Ovis aries: one gene and its partner. The protein of the gene in region 2 purifies or fractionates together with the protein of the main gene of each other region. This does not show direct contact. Links are inferred from orthologs where the notes say so. Each region holds a gene or a part of one and is shown on either strand. Other genes may lie near its edges.

Region 1 (6,023 bases), about 170 Mb from region 2:
CTCTCAGAGCATAAAACCATGGTAGAGAAACACACTCTATGCAGCCTTTTGCAGAGGACAGAACTCAAGAGGTGTGGAACAGCTAAAAACCCCATTTCAGAGAGCACCTCCTGAACTGGAGAACAAAGATCCAGATGGTGACAATTAGCAAACGTTGTTTAGGAAAAGCAACTGGCAAATGCAGGGAAAAGAACAAATGAAAGGAAAAAAAAGGGACAGGTCAGGGATCATAGGTTCCTGGGGTTGGAGCTGTGTGGGTAAGCTATGCCGTGGGGACGGTGGGGGAGAGTACACCTTAGAGCGCAGATGGGCATCGGGAGAGCACTCGCCCTGGAGCCTCAGCTCAGGGCGGCCTCCGCCTCAGCCCCTCAGGACGACGCACGGCGCAGACCTCCGCTGGCCCTCTGCCGCCACCCGCGAGGCCCTTACTGGTTGTCAATCTGCTCCTGCCGCAGCGCGATGCTGCCCTGCTCTTCCAGGAGGTTCTCCCGGGAGGCCGACTGCGCTGGGTCCAGCTTCTTCACGTAGGCGGCCGGCACGAAGCCCTGCCGGTCGTTCACTTCCACTTTCCACCAGTCCTACAGGGAAAAGAGACTATCTCCATGGCAAATTCCTCCCCTGACGGAGGGAGAACCCAAGGAGGCCCGTGTACACACGCATGCACACATGAAGAAGAGCTCTAGTCACGGCATGAGGATCCCGTGACGGTGCCAAAGTCACCTGGTGTGAAGATGGGAATTTTGATCCCCTCGTGACCTGCCGCGTATAGGGAGGGTCATGAGTGAGGCAGCCATGACTTTACTGGAGCAGGAAGGCCACCTTCTCTTCGCACAGATGCTCCAGGACTGTGCTAACACGGCAGCCTCGAGCCATACTTCAGGAAATTAAATAAAACCTCAGATGCTCTGGGACCTCTGAAGCCCCTCATGGTCACCTGTGACTAGTGGCTTCTGTGGGGCCAACACAGACACATAGTCTGCCATCACCGTGGCTTCTACTGGCGAGGCTGCTCTGGAGTGAACCAGAGTCAGACCAGGCAGTTAGCTTAGGTTTAGAGTCAGCAGACCGACACTGGCCAGTGTTTCCTCAAAGTCCCACGACCAGGTGAGCTGAGTGGCTGGGAAGAGGAGGTGCCTAACACTTCTCCAGCCTACACTAAGACAGGGGGCAGGATCCTGGGGGGGCTCGTCAGATGATGGCCTCATTCCAAGGCCATAGCCAATCAGAATGCGTTAAGAAAGACTGATGAACCAGGCAGCACTGAACTTGGAGAAGATGAGGAGGCGGAGCCTACAGGGTGACGCTGAAGCCTGTTTTCAACCCTCTGCTGCGGCCCTACAGTCTAGAACCAACAGGTGCCAGTGACAGAGAAGCAGACTTCAGCTCAAAAGAGAAAAAAATTCCACTTGGAAGTGGTCCTTGAGAGTAAGGGTCACTACCCTAGCTCTCAGGTATTTACGGAGACAGGCTGGTCATCTCAATCACAGGCAAAACAGTAAACCCACGTGACATGGGAGACTGACCTGGAAACTCTAGTAACTTTAAGTTTTAAACCAGCCACATCCTGGAAAGACAAGCTCCCAAGACACCTAATATGTGGAAACCAACCCCCTGTCATCCTCTGTGCTTGCCTTGTTGGTGCTGTTGAGTAAGGTGAGAATGTCTCCTTTCTTCATGGTGACCTCTCGGGGACTCTTCTCCTGATAGTCATAGAGCGCCAAGACCAGCTCCTTCCCAGTCTCGTCATCCATGGGGGCCACTTGTTGCTAAAAATTCAAAGGAAGGGCAAACACAGTTATGGGATGTCTCCAGAGTGCCGTCTCAGCCACTGCAGATCCCAGCCTCAGCAGGAGACCCACATCCATCAAACATACACTGGTGACAGTTCTCCTCTGAAGCCACCAACAAGATCTGACTCAGGAAGCTCAGCTGTCTGGGACCTTTAAGGCCACAGGAAAGTCACCTACGGGGGCTTTCCTGGTGGGCCAGTGGTTAAGAATCTGCCTGCCAATGTAGGAGACACAGGTTTGATCTCTGGTCCAGGAAGATCCCACATGCCTTGGAAAACCTAAGCCTGTGCACTCAACTGTTGAGCCTGGGCACCCCAACTACTGAGCCCACACGCCCTAGAGCCTGTGCACCACAACGAAAAGTAGCCCCCGCTTTCTGCAACTAGAGAAAGCCCATGAAGCAATGAAGAACCAACACAGCTAAAAATACATAAATAAAAGAACGTCACCCAAGATCATGCCACCTGCTGTCAGCATCTGGGTCTTTTGGCCTCCCTGCTCCCTGGCCCCGACCCAACCCCTGGGATCTTGCAACTGCTGACATGAAAAGCCTCACTTACCCGGCACGACTGGGCCTGCTCTCGCAGGGCCTGGATGCTGCTGCCATAGGCGCTGAGATCCGACATCAATGCCTCGTGCTTCTTTAGCAGAGCCTGAAATCCAAGTCACACACAAAGCGACCCTGAGCAAGGAGCCAGAGCAGCCCCTCTGCCTCCCCAGCATGCCGTCTGCCTCTTAAATCTGTTTAGCTACCTGGTGACTTGATGACTCTCTCTCCCTTTATTTGATAAACACTTAGCGTGGAGAAAATATCATGTTTTCTATTATCTTTTCATCCATAATTATGCAACCCTTGAAACAGACGAGGAGTCATAAAGAACACTGTCACATGTACAGTGATCCACCACCCATCCTGAGAATTCAACACTCCTGCTAAGTGGCAGCTGGGCACATGCCGCCCTCCTCCAAGAACCCCCTTCCCACCACCCTCCGTGCTTCCTACTTCTCCAAATCCTATCAGGTCGGGTCAATACTCAGCTCAGGACGGTTTACGTGAAGACAGGCAAGAAAAGGCAGGCACGTGGCTACACCTAGATCTTTATGAATAGAATTTAAGAATTCCATTCAAAAAAGATGACTAAGAAAAAATTGTGCTTATGTACACATAGGTATACAGAAAAAATGAAGTAAGATCGGAGACATGGGCATGGCTAACAGTGAAAGGCCAAGGCTGCCTTCTCTCTTTTGTGAACATAAGAGAACTACCAGAGAAAAGTGGAAAGAGATGCTGAAACACCTTAAAAGCCATGAGACTGCACTCTGCACACGTGGTCATCCTCCTAACCAGCCCCAGCCCGAGCCCAGTACCCCCGGCATGCATCACCTCGGCAGAGTCCTCATCTTTGCCATAGTCGGTGCTGCCCACGATGGGCTCCTTCTCCCGCATCCAGGACTCGGCCTCGTTGGCATCAGCGAAGTACTGCTGGGCCTGCAGCGAGTCCTCCAGGTCCTGCCGTCGCTGGGAAGCTTTGGACTTCAGCGACTCCCACTTCTGGTTCAGTTCATGGAGCTTGGCCTTCACGTCCTCGGCAGCAAAATGGCCTGTAGGGCGGGCAGGGGAGGGAGGACAATGAGAAACATGGGGACAAACAAGGTCCTCTGAGCGCTCACAGCCTCTGTGACACTATGTCCAGGGAGCCAGGTCCCTTCATGTTCCTAGTTTTATATGAGGCCCAGGTTCCAACCCTTTAACAGATCTCCTCAGACCACGATGTCTATCTAGACTCTAAGCAGACAACCTTAGTTGGCATTAGTAATGTCATCATTAACAATAAAACCCACAGCCCCCTCTGACCCTCTGTCATGGAGACTCGTTGCTGGGCACTGTCTCAGGCTCCTCAGTATCTGACCTCATTCACTTAGTCTTCTCAACTGTGGGAGAAGTTGAGAAGTTGGCGGGGGGTGGGGGCGGGTGAGCTCAGGCTCAGAAAGGTTATGGACTAGTCAGGGTCACAGTCAGAAGATTGTAGGGGGGGCAGTCTTCAACCCCTAGCCCAGCCTGCCCTGCGACCATGCACTTGGCAGGTGCCACGACAAACGAGAACAAAGCCACCTCCTGACGACACTCACCCTCCTCTACCATGGCGTTCCCCTTCTGTGTGACTGCTTTGATGCGGGGCTCGTGGCCAGCAATTTCTGCTTGTAGCGCTTGGTGTTTCTTTAGCAGGTTCTGGACTCCAATTAAATCTTTGCCTGAAAGAGAAACCACTCCCAAGTCAAGAGAAAAGTCAACTCCATCACTCTCAGCTGTCCCCACAGTTTCACTTAAAAACCCAGTTCAACTGAAACCTGACTTTGCTCATTCGGACATAGGTCCCCCTCCTGGACCCGTGTAAGGGTAGGCCCTTTCCTAACTGGACTTCCGTCTGACAGAGGCAGGCTGACCTCTGTTGGTGGAGGCGGCAATAGGTTCTTTCTCCCGAATCCACGTCTCCTCATCCTCAACGTCACGGAAGAGCTGCTGCAACCGCAGGGAATCGGCCAGCTTCTGCTTCCGGGCAACCATGGGCTCCTTGAGTGCCTCGTAGCGAGCTACCAGGGCCTCCTGCTTCTTCTTGATGTTTTCAGCATCAAAGTGGCCCGCATCCTGGAACTGGCGGGCTTGGATAGTGATGCCATCGATGCGATCCTGGAGACGGGAAGGACAGAGTGTTGAGAGCCTGGCCTGAGGCCGGCCAAGTGCGTTCTGGACATCTCTCGGCTGACATTCTTGCCTCAGGCGTGGTTTACTCTCACACCAAGAAAATGCACATCGTCATTTCCCCACGCTCTGGAGTGCGCTTCCAGCCGCCCTTTCCCCATTTTGGGCTCCCAGGAAGCTCCAAGGGCAAGCAGACCAACCTGAACAGAAGCCAAGTGGTGCAGCCACGATTCTCTAGGGCATCGACACACTTCATCCCCCACCCCCGAACCGGTTGGCCTTGGCTGATCAGCCTCTCTCGCTCCCGTGCCCACAGCCCCACATCCGCGTCCAGGGCCTGCACCTGGTGAGCGGCCACGTCAGCCTCCAGCAGGGCATGCTTTTTCTGGAGGTTCTGGACGTTGGTGAGGTCTTTGCCGTAGTCATCCGAGGCCAGATGACCTTCCACTTCGTACAGCCACAGCTCGATGTCCTCAACATTGCGGTTAAACTGCTGCTGCTGGTTAGCCTCACGGAGCTTTATGCCTGGTCAAGGAGGCAAGGTTGAGTCTGTGAGTATCACCCTTCTGCCAGTGCTGCCCGTACACAGCAGCACCTCTCGAAGGATCACAACAGGGCAGGGTTTCAGTGACGCCTTCACGTCTATCACAATGTGAAGGAAAACTGCAAGCTCGGCTCTGCCTTCCAGATGCGGAACTAGAATGAGCCCCATGGGTTAAGTGCTGATGAATGGTTAGGTGCCCTCGGCTCACAGCTGACCTGTTCTAGTGACGAGGCCCCAGCCAACCAGGGCCACTGACCAAATCAGCCCCTCCTCTCTCAGGCTCCCCGACCAGCCAGTAAACAGTCACATCCGCCAACCCTGCACATCATTAGGCACCCACACAGCTGACTCCCTCAGGAAGTGAGCCCCAGTGCCCAGTCACCTGGAGCAGCTCACCTAGATAGCCCAAGTACCTAAACCAGGGAACCAGGGATGAGCATTTAACTCTCTAAACCTCCTACCACAACCCCGTGCATGCCTCCCCTCACCTTTCAGCTCCGTGGCCTCCAGCAGCTTCTTCCACAGACTGATAACTTCATTCATCCGAGTCGCCACCTCATCCTTGGCATAGTGGTCAACGTCGATCAGCTTCTGCCCAGCTTTCTCCAAGGCGTCGATGCGGCTCTGGTTTGCTGAGAGCTCGGCCTCAAAGGCCTGGTGCTTCTGCACTTTCCCTTGTAGGTTGGATGGGTCCTGCCAAGAAAGAGGTTCTCTCTCGAACCACTGGACAACAAGTTACGCTGCACTGCACTCACACATATCTTCACAGGGGACATATGAAACCGCCAGTTTACATTCAGTAGCGTGTTTTTGAAATTTCCAATCTCTTTCTTTAACTACATCTATCTGTAAGGGTGGTGTCTGGCTTACAGACCAATGGCTACATGACACTGCCAACAGGATCTTACTTTATAAGCTTCATCTGTGGCTGTTTTCATCTTCTCGTTGACCCAACTCTTGAGCTCATCAGAGTCACGGAAAAACTGCT
Region 2 (5,811 bases):
GGTGGTGGGTGTGGGGGCTCCCCGCCCCAGCTTAGCCACTCTTACCTTTCTCCACTCTCCCCAGTGCCCTGGCGTTGGAGGAGAAGCGGCGGCTGGAGGCCCGCATCGCACAGCTGGAGGAGGAGCTGGAGGAGGAGCAGGGCAACACGGAGCTGGTGAACGACAGGCTGAAGAAGGCGAACCTGCAGGTGGGCAGCTGGGCCTCCCTCCACACCGGGGCCCCCAGCAGAAGCCATCCGATGCTTAGAGGAGGACATCCTGGTGCCTGCACCCTTTCCTTGGTTCCTCTCTTTCGGGGGTCGAGCTGCTTCTGAACCCTTCCCATTGGGCAGCTCCCTCTTCCAGGAGGGTCTGGTGATGAGGGTCCCCGCCTTCCTTGAGGTCACCAGCCCTTCTTCCCACAGATCGACCAGCTCAACACCGACCTGAACCTGGAGCGCAGCCACACCCAGAAGAACGAGAACGCAAGGCAGCAGCTGGAGCGCCAGAACAAGGAGCTCAAGGTCAAGCTGCAGGAGATGGAGGGTACCGTCAAGTCCAAGTACAAGGCCTCCATCACTGCCCTGGAGGCCAAGATCGCACAGCTGGAGGAGCAGCTGGACAACGAGACCAAGTGGGTGTCCCTCGCCCGCCACCCAGCACCATCTGCGGGCTTCTCTGTGTGCCCGTCCCTGATGCTGTTTCCCCTGTCCTAAGGGGGGGCTCTCATCTTTTTCCCTGGGGCCTTTTGCTAGGGCTTTAGAGTTTGAAGAGGAACCCATGGCACACTTCTAAAGTTGAGCCTGGTGACTCAGGGCTGAATCAGAGAGAGGTGGTAGTTCCCACTCCCTGGGCAGCCCATCTGTGGGCTCAGCAAGACAAACTTCTTTAGGGGTGAAAAGTGAAAGTCACTCAGTCATGTCCGACTCTTTGCGACCCCATGGATTGTAGCCCACCAGGCTCTTCTGTCCATGGGATTCTCCAGGCACGAATATTGGAGTGGGTTGCTATTCCCTTCTCCAAGGGACCTTCCCAAGCCAGGGATCGAACCCGGGTCTAATGGGCGTCAGTCGTTTTTTTTTTTTTCTAGCTTTATCTGTGCTCTCTGAGATGTGTCACTTCCTTGAGCCTCAGTTTCCTCATCTGTGAAATGGGACCAATCCTAATGCCTTCATAAGAGCATTGATCAAGGCCTCCCTACAGGGGACAGGCCAGTGAGACCCAGATGTGGGTGGCCCAGTTTGTGGGTTTGTCCACCAGACCCTCTGAAAGAGCGGGTGCCCCTGAGCCACTGTGTTTGTGCCTCGCAGGGAGCGCCAGGCAGCCTGCAAGCAGGTGCGTCGGGCCGAGAAGAAGCTGAAGGACGTGCTGCTGCAGGTGGATGACGAGCGGAGGAACGCTGAGCAGTACAAGGACCAGGTGAGCCGGGGCGGAGCAGGGCCCTGCCCCAAGGCAGCTGAGGGCGGGGTGGGCCACTGGCACGTGCAGTCCTGACCTGGGCCCCTGGCCTTGCGTCCCTCCAGGCGGACAAGGCGTCCACCCGCCTGAAGCAGCTCAAGCGGCAGCTGGAGGAGGCGGAGGAGGAGGCCCAGCGGGCCAATGCCTCCCGCCGGAAACTGCAGCGCGAGCTGGAGGATGCCACTGAGACGGCGGATGCCATGAACCGCGAGGTCAGCTCCCTCAAGAACAAGCTCAGGTGAGCCCCGCCAACCGCCCCCCACCCCACTCCCTCACCCACACCCACCCCGCCACGTGACCCTTTCTCTTCCAAAAAGTTCCTTTGTCCTGAAAAGCAGAATTTCATCATGAGGCTGTTGTAAACTCAGTCCCTTTCTCAGCCCTGTCAGTGGGCAGGGCACTTACTGACACCAGAAGGGTGCTTGTCAGAGAGTCCTTCCTGGTTCTCCGGCCTCCTAGGCTGTAGCCCAGCCTTTTGAATAATCTCTCTGGGTGATTGATTCCCATCCTGCCTGAAAAGTCTGTTCCTGTCACGGCCCTTAAGCCCGCTGAGAACGTTTTCAGGTTTTGTGAACTAGAAGTTGCTCAAGGCCACCCAGCCAGTCTCTGGCACAGCTCAGGTCGATCTTCCAACACTGATCAGGTGGAGAGGGCTGATTGGCATTTCTCAAAGGAGTGTCCTGATCAGGCAGTGTGAAATGGTTGAGGCAGAGGGCCTTTTTTGTCGACATTCTCATTGTTGACCTCCTTTTCCCAGGGATCCTTTTTCTTTTTTCAAGCATACAAGCAGCAGTCTAGTCAGTGTGTATGTTGTTGGTTTTCTTATCCGGGACTGGAAGAGATGCCCGTTTGTGTGCACTGCACTGTCGGCCTCTGTCTCATGATCTCACCTGTTTGGTACCAAGTGTGACCAGAGGGTGGTGTTTTGCAGAGGTGGCTCCTGCTGCTCTTGGGCCTCCTTCTGTTGTTGAGTCGCTCTGTCGTGCCTGATTCTTTGCGACCCCATGGACTGCAGTCCAGCAGGCTCCTTTGTGGGATTCTCCAGGCAACAATACTGGAGTGGGTTGCCATTTCCTTCTCCAGGGGATCTTCCCGACCCAGGGATGGAACCCATGTCCCCCATATTTCCTGCATTGGCAGGCGGATTCTTTACCACTGTGCCTCCTTTTAATCAGCCCCTATTACCTGACAATTTTTTGCTGGTGTTTGGGGGTGAGAGCAGGAAGCTTCAGTCACCCCCTTATCGTGAGCCCTCCTGTCCTGCCCCTGAGGCCCCCCGCCCCATTGCTTCTCCCCGTGGGATGTCAGGAGCTAGTCTTCCTCTGATGTTGCTTTGAAACACATGAGCTGTGCTATGGCCGCCTGCCAGCCTTGCTAACCGCTACCTCTGCCCCCAGGCGTGGGGACCTGCCGTTCGTTGTGCCCCGCCGAATGGCCCGGAAAGGTGCCAGTGACTGCTCGGATGATGAGATGGATGGCAAAGCTGACGGGGCAGAGGCCAAAGCCGCCGAGGCCAGAGCTGCCGAGTAACTGGCTCTTCTTCTCCTGCTGCCTGGAGACGGACATCAGCGACTCCGCCTCCCCTCCCCAGCCCCCACAGCACCCCCTCCTCCCTCTGGGGACTGCTGTGACTGTGACCCCACCTTGTCCCCCCAGGCTGGGGACCTCAGGCCCCCCCTCACCACCCCGCCTGTCCCCCAGGCCTCCTTGAGGGCGTTCGGCTTCCTCTGCTGCAGCCCCCTTGCTCCCCTCCACCCCCACCCCGAATCTGATACCAAAGAGTCAGGGTCCTGGGCCCGGGCCCAGGGACAGAGCGACCAGCCGGGTCTCCCGCCTTCTCGCCACAGAGCACAAGACGGTGAGGCGAGGAGGGCAGGAGCAGGCCTCCGGGGATGGGCAAGAGAGTTTTCTATGAATCTATTTTTCTTTAGACTAAGGAGTTTCGCTAGCCCAACGCCCCAGGAAGAGTTGTAACCTCCCCCCCCGCCTCCGCCACCGCCACCAGCTGTCCCCTCTCCCTCCTTTGCTGTTGGCAATCACACTCGGTGACCTCACACCTTCTGCCCCACCGGCCCCCCTGCTCCCGTGGACTCTGGGTGGTCCAACATGAGCAGCCCCAGGGGGTCCACCTCTGTGCAGGGCACAGGATGCCGGGGTTGGGAGGGGAGGGCCTTCCTCCCTACCCCGCTGGGCAGCGCCACTGTCCCCTTCCTGCTTCTCAAATGTCTCAAGTGCAATGATGACCCCTTCCCCTCCTTGGCCCAGGGCAGCCCATCCCTGCCGCAGCGGGGCTGTTGGGCTGAGCAGGCAGGGCCTAGGGGCCAAGCTGGAAAGGCCAGCAGTGGCCTCTCCCAACACTCTTGGGGACCAAATATATTTAATGGTTAATGGACTTGTCCCGAGTCTGACAGCCAGAGCAGTGGGAAGGGCCAGGACTGGGGCCCGAGGGTAGTTGATCAGCACCGTTGACTCCGTATAACTCAAGACGCTGCCGTCTGCACAGACATTTTTAAAAGAAACAGAAAACGTTGTTGTCTTTTCTCCCTCTCACTGTAATTAGTGATGAAATTCCCAGTCTTCATCACTGCCTTTCCTTCAGAAGCACGTCTAGGAGAGAGCAGCTTGTCCTGCACTGGTCTACACTGGTGGCTGGATTTCCTTGTATTCCTAACTATTCTGTATATGCTGCATTTAGACTTACTTATGGCAAAGAAGGCATTTTTTTTTTTTAAGGAAACAAACTCTCAAGAAATCATGAAGATATATTAAAGCTACATATGCCTAAAAAGCTCTGAATTCAGGTCCCAGTTGCTGTCACAAAGGAGTGGACAGAACTCCCACCCCCGCCCTTTTTTTATATAATGAAAGTGCCTTAGCATGGTTGCAGCTGTCACCACTACAGTGAGCTGGTTTACAGATGTTTTCCACTGAGCGTCACAATAAAGAGATCCTTGTGCTACGAGACACGTGTCTGGGGGCTGTCTGTGCACGGGAGCAGGTGGCCTAGAGGGCACTGTATCTGGGCTCCCCTGGAAGGGACTGTGCTTTGCTTCTGCAGCAGGTACCTCCTTTGTGTGATTTCTGGAAGCTTCCAGGAGTGCAGCATGGTTGGGGCCAGGCTTTAATAGGGGGTAGTGGTCATGCAGAAAGGTAGGCTGGCCAGATTCAAGGATGCTACAAGTGTCTTATAAATCTTGATTCCTTTCAGTTACTGAGCATGTACTATGTGTTGGACGCCGAGCTGGCTCAGGGGCTAGAGACGCCAGCTTCTTGAGGTTCCTTAGTCATCAGACAAGGCAAAGCCTGCCCTCTGGAGGTTCGTCCCAGGGGCTGTAGAAGAAGGAATGAGGGAGTTGGTGCCTAAGCCTGTGGGTGCTGGGGCAGAGGCTTTCCAAGGACTGTCAGCTTTTGTTCATTCTTTCAACAAAGGCTGGGTGGAAACCAGGCCCCTCACCAGGCACTGGGAGTGTGAGGGCAGTAAAGACAGATGTCCCTGCAGTTGTGGGTGAGAGGGGAGGGAGAAAAAGGCTCTCCTTAGAGAAGGGATTGGGCTCGCACTTGATTCAAGATGTGGACTCTAGCAGCCTATCTGAATGCAGGCCTCCTCTCCCCCACCAACCCAGGTCACTGTTTGCCCAGCCTGGTTGCTCAGGAGAGGTGCAGGCTCCTAGACTGGATGCTTGCCAGGCCCTCCAACAGCTGACCCGTCCAGCCTCTGAGCAGGTGCACTTTCAGGCCCTGGGAAAGGAGTGGCAGGAGGTGGTGGGAGAGGTGGGTGAGGGCCAGCACTGGAGTCTGGGGCCCTTCTTTCTGTCAGCGGGGGCCACTCCTATAGAAGTTCTGGGGGCCTTCCCCGCCTCTCTCAGCTGGTGGTGCCTGCAGCGTTCCTTGGCTGCGGCTGCACCCCTCCATCCTGCCTCTGTCTCTTTGTGGCCTTCTCCACCTACTCTCTGTTGTCTCTGTGTCTCTTATAGGGATGCTAGTTATTGGATTTAGGTAATCAATGTTGATCTCAAGATATTTCACTCAAAGGATTTTCAGAGACATGTTTCCACCTAAGGTCAATACACAGTTGCAGAGATTAGGTCGTGGACATACTATTTGGGGAGCCACCATTTAACTCAGTACAGGACCCACAAATATTAGTTCTCCCCCTTGAGGTCCTGTGGATTGGCTGTTCACCTTGTGCCTGGGAAGTGCTGGGGGGTGCCCGCCGCTGCACATCAGGAGGAAGGGAGCAGTCGGCTGCTTGACCGCCCACCATGCACAAGCATGAGAGCCCAGGGTCTGCAGATTCCAAAGTCCCTTGTGGAAGGGAGGGGTCCTGGCTCCCTCTCCAGGCATCCACCTGTGTCTGTGTAGCCTAAAGCATGC

The links. Proteins that work in one complex are often made in the same cells at the same time.
Region 1: the proteins of MYH9 (region 2) and SPTAN1 fractionate together in Homo sapiens (co-fractionation; 3 studies listed by BioGRID and IntAct, with this or other methods). This does not show direct contact. The link is inferred for Ovis aries from reciprocal best matches to the Homo sapiens genes MYH9 and SPTAN1.

Annotation. Positions count from the first base shown.
Region 1 is NC_056056.1:7,773,431-7,779,453, forward strand, and holds part of SPTAN1 (spectrin alpha chain, non-erythrocytic 1), read right to left. Parts: coding exon 5,944-6,023; intron 5,729-5,943; coding exon 5,524-5,728; intron 5,017-5,523; coding exon 4,835-5,016; intron 4,480-4,834; coding exon 4,236-4,479; intron 4,044-4,235; coding exon 3,921-4,043; intron 3,393-3,920; coding exon 3,175-3,392; intron 2,444-3,174; coding exon 2,351-2,443; intron 1,767-2,350; coding exon 1,632-1,766; intron 579-1,631; coding exon 430-578; intron 1-429. UniProt on the Homo sapiens protein: Fodrin, which seems to be involved in secretion, interacts with calmodulin in a calcium-dependent manner and is thus candidate for the calcium-dependent movement of the cytoskeleton at the membrane.
Region 2 is NC_056056.1:180,361,937-180,367,747, reverse strand, and holds the end of MYH9 (myosin-9), read left to right. Parts: intron 1-64; coding exon 65-188; intron 189-404; coding exon 405-613; intron 614-1,289; coding exon 1,290-1,398; intron 1,399-1,502; coding exon 1,503-1,675; intron 1,676-2,834; coding exon 2,835-2,967; 3' UTR 2,968-4,399; downstream 4,400-5,811. UniProt on the Homo sapiens protein: Cellular myosin that appears to play a role in cytokinesis, cell shape, and specialized functions such as secretion and capping. Required for cortical actin clearance prior to oocyte exocytosis. Promotes cell motility in conjunction with S100A4.